Arabidopsis thaliana: one gene and its partner. The protein of the gene in region 2 interacts with the protein of the main gene of each other region in a pairwise test. Each region holds a gene or a part of one and is shown on either strand. Other genes may lie near its edges. The genes, in order: ATCTH and LRL2.

Region 1 (4,649 bases), on a different chromosome or scaffold from region 2:
TTTTTATGTTAAATTTCATAACTTATTATGTATAAAATTATCGTTTGTTATGTCACTGTATTTTTTAATTTAATACATTATTGTTGTATTTTTAAATTTCAATTAACTGGATAACCATATTAGTATTGATTAAATGCCCAATGTATACCTAAAACATATAGATTTGTTCGTGTATTACTGAAAACATATTTAAATTTGAAAATCATTCTGAAAATGAAAATTTTATCCAAATTATGAGTATTCATTAGTCATTAGTCTATTTTCAGAGTGGATCTAGTCTACCATTGGAAATAGCCAAATAGTTTTTTTTTTTTGTCAAAAGGAATATGTTTACTTAAAAATAGAATTTGTAGGCAGATTTGATGTTCATTAGAGATATGATGCAAGAGAGTTATTTTCTCGAGACTATTTTCTCTGATTAATTGTTGGGCTTGTTCGTTTATTAATCGCTGTGACAGCAATAGGGACTCCGACGAAAAGCAAAAATTATAACGGAGATACAAAAACAGTCGTTCAATATGGACGCCGGCGGCGTCCTTAGTGAAAATGTTAAGTTGCTGTTATTTTTTGGCGACACGTGTATATGCCTTATAGGTCGCTGTTTTTAAAATCGAGCGACTCCTCTTCACATAACTTTCTACAGACTTCAACGTAATTGTGTGTTAAGCAACTGTTTTTTTGGTCGCTGGATATGATCGCAGCGTTTGGAAAAAGAACAGGCCAACAAAAAATATTTATATCCTCTTACTATTATAACAACGAAATCGATAAGAAGGAAACAACAAATGAAATGTTCTTTTCTAAAGTCTCAAACTAAGATGTTATCCAAATACATTTGAGAACTAATTACAAAATGATATAACATTAATAAACAACAAACAAAATAAAGCCGAAAACCAAAATAAAAACAAGAAAATAACGAAAACAATAAAAAAAACTGCAGAGAAAAAAGCCAGAAGAATAGCTCTCAAATTCTCTCATTATCATCTCTTTACAAATTCTTCCTTTTTTTGTTACTCTTAACGCTTTTTTCTTCATCGTCCGATTGTACCGTCACTAAGATCGACCCGCCACGTCATTTATCCACAACACCTTAAAAATCTCTAAAATATTCACAAAATCAGATCGAGTCGCCACGTCATCAAAGACTCGATCCAAGTCGACTCAACCGAGTGAGTTCTCTCTACTGAGTCTTGCATACATCTCCGCTCTCAGCTCTTTCCCAGATTCCACAAATTCCATCGCCGGAGCTTCTTCGATCTCAAACTCTCTTATCCTCGGCCACGTTGCCGCCTGAATCGGACGCAGAGACGACGAAAAAGGTAACCTAACTGCAGATCTCATCGGAGAACTCCACGAACAACCACCTCCGTTCAATTGCATTTTCCTCATCGACGCAATAAGTTCACCGGTACTCGGAGAAAGCGGCGGAGATTCCGACGGTGGTGAAAACGAAGGAGAAACAAGAATCGAAGTCGGAGAAGTAGCTAATCCTGAGAAGAATCCAAGATCTGGATCTAACGAACAAGGTAATACACGTAACTGCTCCGTCGTATGAGCGAAGAAACAGATTCTTCTCCGGCAGCTAGTTCCGTCTTTACACGGCTGAGTACGGTAACGAGAAGGATGGAGCCAACACTCGAAAACTCCATGAGAGAACTCACACGAATCACCTCTTCTACAACTTCCTTTACGAAACTCAGGACAAGCGGTGCCGGAGTAATGAAACTTTCTCGGATCACGTCGTCGAGCTTTTTCTCCGGGATGTGCGAACGGACACTCCGTCCAATCATGAGATCGACCTCGAGCGCATCGCCGGATTTTGAACTCGTAGATGCGAAACTCGTCGGAGGAGAATGAGTCGGTGAGTGGTGATGACTCGTCGCCACTTGATGAGTCTGAATCGTTTGTTAACTCGTTTGACGGGAGGTAACGGAAGAGAGAAGCGAAGGAGTCGAGATACGGTGACGGAGAGTGTGGGTAGTCGTTAACGCTGTTAAGGTTGACGGAAGAGAATGGTGAAGAGATTGTGGCCGTTGGATCGTTGATTTGATCCCATTGAGGGATATGGATCGTTGGATGTGGCCGGTTTTTATTTTCGCCGATCATCATTTTTGTTTAGTGAGTCTAGAAGAGAGAGAGGTGTGTGTCTGTGATATAAACTGCTTTATTTTAACCATGGTTGGGTCAAATATTAACTACGGTAAAGTTATGAAAATCTTGACCCTATCCACAATACCGTACGGTAAACAATTAATAAGCGCAAATCTGCAGATGATGACACGTGTAAGAAAAAATCTCCAATTTTTGTTCGTCTTTTGTTTTTTTCCCCTTCATGTTCGTCTTTTTTTTTTTTTTTTTTTCTTCATATTTGTCCCCCCAAAAAAAAAAAAAATGTTTTCAAAGCTTTAAAAATATTTAAAAATTTTCAAATTTATTTTTTAATCAATCACACTTTTAAAACTTTATTAATTTTTAAAGTTTTAAAAGCTTTTTTCTCTCCATTTACTTTTTTTCTTTTGTTTTTTTCCTAAAGTCTTTAACTTTAAAAGAGAATAATAAAACAAAATAAAAATATTTTTTCTTTATCCATAAAATTTCAAAACTCTTTTCAAATTTATTTATATTTTATCATTAAAAAATCGATTGATTAATTCGAATTTTATTTTTTCTGTTCTTTTCAGATCCAATTTAAATATTTAAAATAGTGAATTTGTAAAATGAATTTTGTATTTTTTTAAAATAAATTTATTTTAGTTACTATTTTACCAAATAAATTGATTTTTTAGCATAAATAATATTTATAAAAAATATTAAATAATAATAAAAATAATTGTGATTTTTTTGTACCAATCAGACTTTAACAGTTAAAGTTTCTATCGTCAAAATTTTTACAACCAAAATTTTTACAGTCAAAGTCGTAACATCCGAAATATTTAGAGTTCAAAAGTAACAGCCGTTACCAATCAGCCCCAACATCTACTTTATTACGCTTTCCGTTTTAAATTAATTGTCAGAACATTAAAAAAATAATTAGAATAAATATCAATTTACATTTTTAAAAGCTAATTTTGACTACAAACAAAATTAAAGTTTTATTTGCAGTGATTTATGTTTTAACCAATAAGAAATTTTGTAAAGTAAAAAATAAAACAAATTATTAATATGTGTGTCAAAACCTAAAACAACATTTTTGGAGTATCACTAACCAAAAGTTATATAGTCACATAAAACATAGGGATACATTAATTGAAGAAATTAAGATACACATTAAAAATTGAAAAAAAAAAAATTTCTATCATAACTCAAAGTTTATCACCAAAAATTGTGTTAATTATTCCGTAGCTGTTATTTGTTTATAAAGATTTAGATCATTTTGACCAGACTGTAACTATTAGATCATTTTGAAGAATCGTAGAATCATACTATTTTATTTGCAATTATATGAATTAGTCCACACTAATATTAAGGGTCTAGCGATATGAAACATAAGACATTACAGTAAGAAAATATTTGGACGGTACAGTATATATTACTTGTCACGTGACTTTCAAGGTCGTAGACTACTCCCCATGACCTGACAAGAGTGAATAAATTTGGTTATTGTCCCCCATTTTTTCTAGATCATGGAAGGATGCAACGTACGTAGCTTTTATGAAATAAATTTCGAACATTAATTTTAACTTTTGGCTCTCCAGCTGATGGGAGTAAATTGACATGCTCCAAAGAAAGAAACACAAGTCACCTAGTGATTTTCAAGAAAATGTGCTTCCTTCAAAATATCCGAGGTCTAAGATGAAATAGTTTTAAAAATTGTTATGCGGGGCATATATTATTAGAGTGTTGTGCACTTGTAACCTTCCAGAAAATAAGCAATTTGGACGATATTTTAAGGTTTGGTCCATGTTCCAGTATCGTGTTAGGGTCCACTGCTTCGAGATCTACTTGATTGATACTCTTCCATTTGTTTTCTAATTGTTTGATGCAAAGGTTATCCATTAAGGGAAACTTATCTATATCACGTGGAATACTCACTGCAAAAGATTCGCAATATTAGACTTATAATTGTCACTAATCAGACCATTAAACAAATATCAAATTGATTAATATGTTGAATTTAATAATCCAATTTGACCTCTTTCAGATAGGGCTTTGGGGACAAATCTTCTTAAATCGCACCAAACTTTTATTATAAGATAATTTTTGGTTCGTGGCTATTAAATTAAGCCTGAAAATTTAAACATATGTTTCACTTACAAGCGTCAAGTATGGATAAACAATGATTAATCATAAGCTATCATAATGACAAAAAGAAGTATGATCGTTATCAGTTCTCTTATGCATAAACTATTGATAAAATTATAATAGTCACGAGATGATTGATCGAGCACGATAACTATTATAATAGTCACGAGAGAATGATGTGAAAGTTTAAGAATGCGTCTAAACCAACAATAAAATAATTTAAATAGTTATAATTGAATACACATTCTATATTAGTAAACATTCAAATTATTTAAAATATCTACGAGACACAATAGCCTCCCAACAACCATTCGTACATTCACTTTCTCATTAGAAAGAAAACGTATCCTAATTTGTTGTTTTCTCTATGAATGTTAATATCATCTAATAAGTCCATATAGACT
Region 2 (5,334 bases):
ACTCATCAACATCTTCTTCTCTCAAATTAAAATAGCATTTCGAGCACGTCCAGCACTCAGCTTCATCTACAATCACAGCAAGCCAAATTAAGCTTTCATGTTTCTCAAGTAGAGTTTTTTTAGTATAATTTAAGAGAATGAAATTACATTTAAGGAAATAAGATATGTTTATTTATTTGTATTAGACTAATAGAGTAAGAACCAAGACTTTAATCAGAGTTTGTCAGATTCATACAAGGTTAAATAATTCAATATTTTCCCAAGGCCTAGTTAAGCCCACCTTTTGATATTTACAGATTATATTTATAGTTCATTATAGGTGAATAAGTAGAACTTGGGAAATCAGACGTGATTGTGTACCAAACTAAGATCGTAAGAGCCAGTTTTTCAATTTGAACAAAGCCGTAATTTTTGAGGGAGTTCCTCAAATTTATTGGGTTTTGTCAGGATTGAGTCTACAATGGTTGTGCACCATATGGTTTATTTTCCTGCCTTCCTATTGTAAACGTATTGTTTTATATAAACAATAGAAAAAACTACTGATAATATGAAATAAAACTAATGTATCAGTATACTAGATGGGACCAATAGTTTATTTAACATAGTAGCATTTTTGTCTTTACTATCTGTTTATTTTTTCTATATGGAATTTAAATTATCATTCGTAACTTATTTTACACCCCCTTAGTTAATTATTTTGGTATACATTATGATTATTAAGTAAAAACAAAAATAATTATTGCATTCTCTTGATAATACTAATACATGAGATGATAGATCTCTCTTTCTGTTGTGTAGTACATCAATGCTTACCAACATTTGTAATTAATAAATGGGAAGTGTATTAAAGCCGATCTCTACCTCTTGTGAGTTTGTGCAAAACTCAGAATGTCCCATGTGCTTAATCATGCATATTGCATAATAATGTTCTTTACTTATCTTTGTCAATTTAATATTAATCTTAATCAAATACTATCAAACAGCTGAAAAACTGTATACGATGGTAAAAAAGAATTTTTAAGGTAAATGATGAATTTATTAGACCAAAAAATATTTAACAAGTATAAAAAATACATGGTAACATGACATGATGATGATGACGATGTTCTGTTATGTTATGTTCTCGTTTGAGAGGATCCTCTTTCCCAAATGTTAATCAGATCGGTTAAAACAACAATTTCATCGATCGGTATCATATTAATCAGAAAACAAAACAAGAATAATCTATAAAAAGTGATCTTATTCTTATCGAACACGAGTATCGTCTAAAGGGATAGCATGTTTGTAATCTTGGGGACAAATTGTAAACAGTAATATATGAAGAGAACATTATCATGAACCGTTGATGAATGAATGAATGTACCCAAATGAATAGAGTATAATTGTATGCATTTATACTGCATGTCTAAATATTATATGTCTAAAATAGTTGTCACAAGAAAAAGTGTTGGCTCTGGTGTTATCTTGTAGACTATTGCATTTTTGGACTAGCAAATATTTATCTCGTGGTACGTAGTTGCCGGGACAAGTTTAAAACTCCGACTGATTTTAATAAAAAAGATCAACAATAGAGATTTGTATTTTATTTTATTTTTGTAGTTGGCATCCTTAACATAAATCCAAAGAATTTTATTCAGCATTCAAATAAACCAATTTTAATGTTACCGAATGAAAATCTTATACAATTATCTTAAACATGAGTTTTCAAAAATGATTAATAGAAAAACCTATGTTATATATATAGAAATTTAATAATATACGGTATTAGAACCACATTCTGTCTTAAATAAAAAAAAAAAGATAATTAAACATACGTAAATCATTTGAGTGAAGTTAGTACAACCGAATTTTTTTTTTTTTTTTTTTTTTTTAGTACAACCGAATTTTAAGTTAGTTTTATTACTTTAAGCCTGTCATTCGATCGACTATGATATTTTTAGAAATATATGTTTCACTTACTTTTTGTAGTTACTACAAAATTGTGAAAAGTATATTATCAACAAAGGATTATAAAATTGAAGAAATCATGACTTCAGTGATCGAATTCTTTTAGTGATTAAAAAAATCAAGAAATTATGAAAATAACACGAAATAATTAATTTGCAAGGATGATAAAAAAAATGGTAAATTTGGTAAACGTATTTAACATGTCAAAGTCAAACCCTTCAAATCTCAAATATTACAATCTCCATCCCTCTTTTAAACACCATAAAGCCTTAAACCTCAAAAGACATTTCAACAACATTCATTTTCATTCTCACTCCCCACCAAAAAAAAAAAAAACAGAAGCCATGAACTCCTCGTCTCTTCTAACTCCTTCATCATCTCCTTCTCCACATCTTCAATCTCCTGCAACATTCGACCACGATGATTTCCTCCACCACATCTTCTCCTCCACTCCTTGGCCCTCATCCGTTCTCGACGACACTCCTCCACCAACTTCCGATTGTGCCCCCGTCACTGGATTCCACCACCACGACGCCGATTCAAGAAACCAGATCACTATGATTCCTTTGTCACATAACCATCCTAATGACGCTCTCTTCAATGGCTTCTCCACCGGATCTCTCCCTTTCCACCTCCCTCAAGTATAACTGATAATCCACTTTTTCTCTCTCATTTTGCAAATTACTACAAAAGAGAAAACATTCATTACATGTTCTTTTGTTAAGTCTTAATTTAATGTTTTCTGATATATATTTTAGGGATCGGGAGGTCAAACGCAAACGCAGTCGCAGGCGACGGCGTCAGCCACCACCGGTGGTGCAACGGCGCAACCTCAGACAAAGCCTAAAGTCCGAGCTAGGAGAGGTCAAGCCACTGATCCTCACAGTATCGCCGAACGGGTTCGATTTTTTTATTTAACTTTTCCTCATTATTCGCTTTTCAGTTACCGAGAAAAACGTATAAAGTTATTTAGATGATTAAGGTGATTATTGAAATATTTTGAAATTATGGAACAGTTACGGAGAGAGAGGATAGCGGAAAGAATGAAATCTCTTCAAGAACTTGTCCCTAATGGTAACAAGGTAAATTTTAATTATCTTCATTAGTCTAAATTTCGATCATCAAAGTTGATATAATTAAAAGAGTAGATTCAAATAATCCAATTTGTATTTTACATTTCTTTAATAGTATATATCTCAAAATGAATAATGTGTTAAGTATATGAGTTACACTGATGTATTTTAGTCTTGGACCACAAATTGCTACTAGTTTAGTAGGTTATCTAGAGATTTGGACTTTTATGCAGTCAAATGATTAAACACTGATTAGCTAATTAATTCTAAAATTTAATTGATAATAATACTTAATAAACAGATGCAGAATTGCTAACAAGGTTTTTTTTATTGTTAAAAATAATAATTAACAGACAGACAAAGCATCAATGCTCGATGAGATTATCGATTATGTCAAGTTCTTACAGCTCCAAGTCAAGGTGAATCTCTCTCTCTCTCTCTCTCGAATTATTTTATAAGATATGAGAATTTTAAATTTGTTTTTGTTATAAGAGTGGAAGCTTCTTTACCTTTGAGTTGACATTAGAATAAGAAATCGAATATGGGCCTCTGCAACTAAAATTCCATATGCTCCCTTTCCCTTTTATCTTGTAAATTATTTATCTTTTGCGTTTGTTAAAACATAGTGTTAGTGTATATCTACCTCTTCTTTTGCTTAATTATAATATTTGGCAAATTTATGTATGCAGGTACTAAGCATGAGTAGACTGGGCGGTGCTGCTTCTGCTTCTTCTCAAATCTCTGAGGTAATAATTTCAATTCCTTCTCTCTTAAAAGGGATGATAGGATGACGTGATCACTATATAGAATGAGATTTTATTTTTTAAACTAATTAAAAAGAGATGTAAATTATTGAAAAGGTTTTAGTTAGGGAATAATACTAATTAAAAAGTAGTTTTGTTTTCGACTTTCTAAAAACAAATGAAAAAGTTTTCCAAAAAATAGTAAAAAAAACAAAACAAGGACAGGGCACGCGTGCCTACTTTCTCTCCAACAAATACCAAAACCTCCCATTTCAACATCATCATAGCTTTAGGGTTTTGCTTTTCTTGTTTTCTTTTTAATTTTATTGAACATTTTCAGGATGCCGGTGGATCCCACGAAAACACCTCCTCCTCCGGCGAGGCGAAGATGACGGAGCACCAAGTTGCAAAGCTAATGGAAGAGGACATGGGATCAGCCATGCAATATCTACAAGGCAAAGGTCTTTGCCTCATGCCCATCTCGTTAGCCACCACCATCTCCACCGCCACGTGTCCTTCTCGTAGCCCCTTCGTTAAAGATACCGGCGTTCCTTTGTCTCCTAACCTATCCACTACAATAGTTGCTAACGGTAATGGCTCATCGTTGGTCACCGTTAAAGACGCTCCCTCCGTTTCCAAGCCGTGATAACGGCCATTTGTCCATTTCATTTTCCCTTTTTTGGGTGGGAAAGAGAGAAAAAAGTTTAGAAGACAAAGACAAGTGGGATAGGTGGTTTTGGTCAAAGTTTAGAAAGAATAAGGTCGTGTTTTCGGATACGACACCGTATTTGCGTACACTTTGGTTTTCTGTCTTTACCTACTACAAACCACCCATAAGCACACTCATGTTATCATGTTTTTTTTTTTTTGGTTTATAAAGTTATATCCTTAAATTTTCTATCACAGAACCGGTCTGGTCTAACAAATGTCGTCAATGATGATCATTTAGGCCAAAGAGTTTGTTTAAAACTCGTTATGCTTAAGTTTCTAAATCTACACAACACAGGAATGTAACACTTAAGCAGGCTTAATTTCACCGTTTTATATACTCACATACTGAAGAAATTTATTGTCAATCGCCAATGTGGTCAGCGGTAAGATCTCATATAAATCTTCCTAGTAGTGTTCAAGAAAATCACTATATATGCAGCAGGGGCTTAGAGTAGCATCTAACGTTTAGAACACCTAGTCAGGATCATTTTAGGTGGTTAAGAGTTTTGTAGAGTGAATTTGTATGGTATACCTCTACTATGACCTACTACTATAAACGAAATAACATGATCTTAATTTATCTTATAAGCACAAAAATAAACAGCAAGGACCGAGAAAACATATAAGATATAAACCATTTCCATATATACCAACGACCTCAAACGTTTACATGTTCAAACCGTCAGAATGTTTTCTACCACGATCGAAAAAAAATAGTCTGAATTGAAACAGAGGAAAATATAATATATCATTTCGTTGTAGAGTCTCTTCTTTTTATTGCTTTGGCATGAGGTTTGAGTTTTGACTTCAAGTACAAAAAATGAATTTATTTTGGGCCAAAAGCATGTGGGAAATAAATT

The links.
Region 1: the proteins of LRL2 (region 2) and ATCTH interact in a two-hybrid assay, tested with the Arabidopsis thaliana proteins (one large-scale study listed by BioGRID).

What each region holds. Positions count from the first base shown.
Region 1 is NC_003071.7:11,039,280-11,043,928, reverse strand, and holds ATCTH (Zinc finger C-x8-C-x5-C-x3-H type family protein), read right to left. Parts: upstream 2,599-4,649; 5' UTR 2,456-2,598; intron 2,364-2,455; 5' UTR 2,113-2,363; coding exon 1,165-2,112; 3' UTR 673-1,164; downstream 1-672.
Region 2 is NC_003075.7:15,078,564-15,083,897, reverse strand, and holds LRL2 (LJRHL1-like 2), read left to right. Parts: upstream 1-2,122; 5' UTR 2,123-2,147; coding exon 2,148-2,588; intron 2,589-2,705; coding exon 2,706-2,846; intron 2,847-2,963; coding exon 2,964-3,029; intron 3,030-3,373; coding exon 3,374-3,439; intron 3,440-3,709; coding exon 3,710-3,766; intron 3,767-4,103; coding exon 4,104-4,409; 3' UTR 4,410-4,780; downstream 4,781-5,334. UniProt on the Arabidopsis thaliana protein: Transcription factor that regulates the development of root hairs. Transcription factor that regulates the development of sperm cells.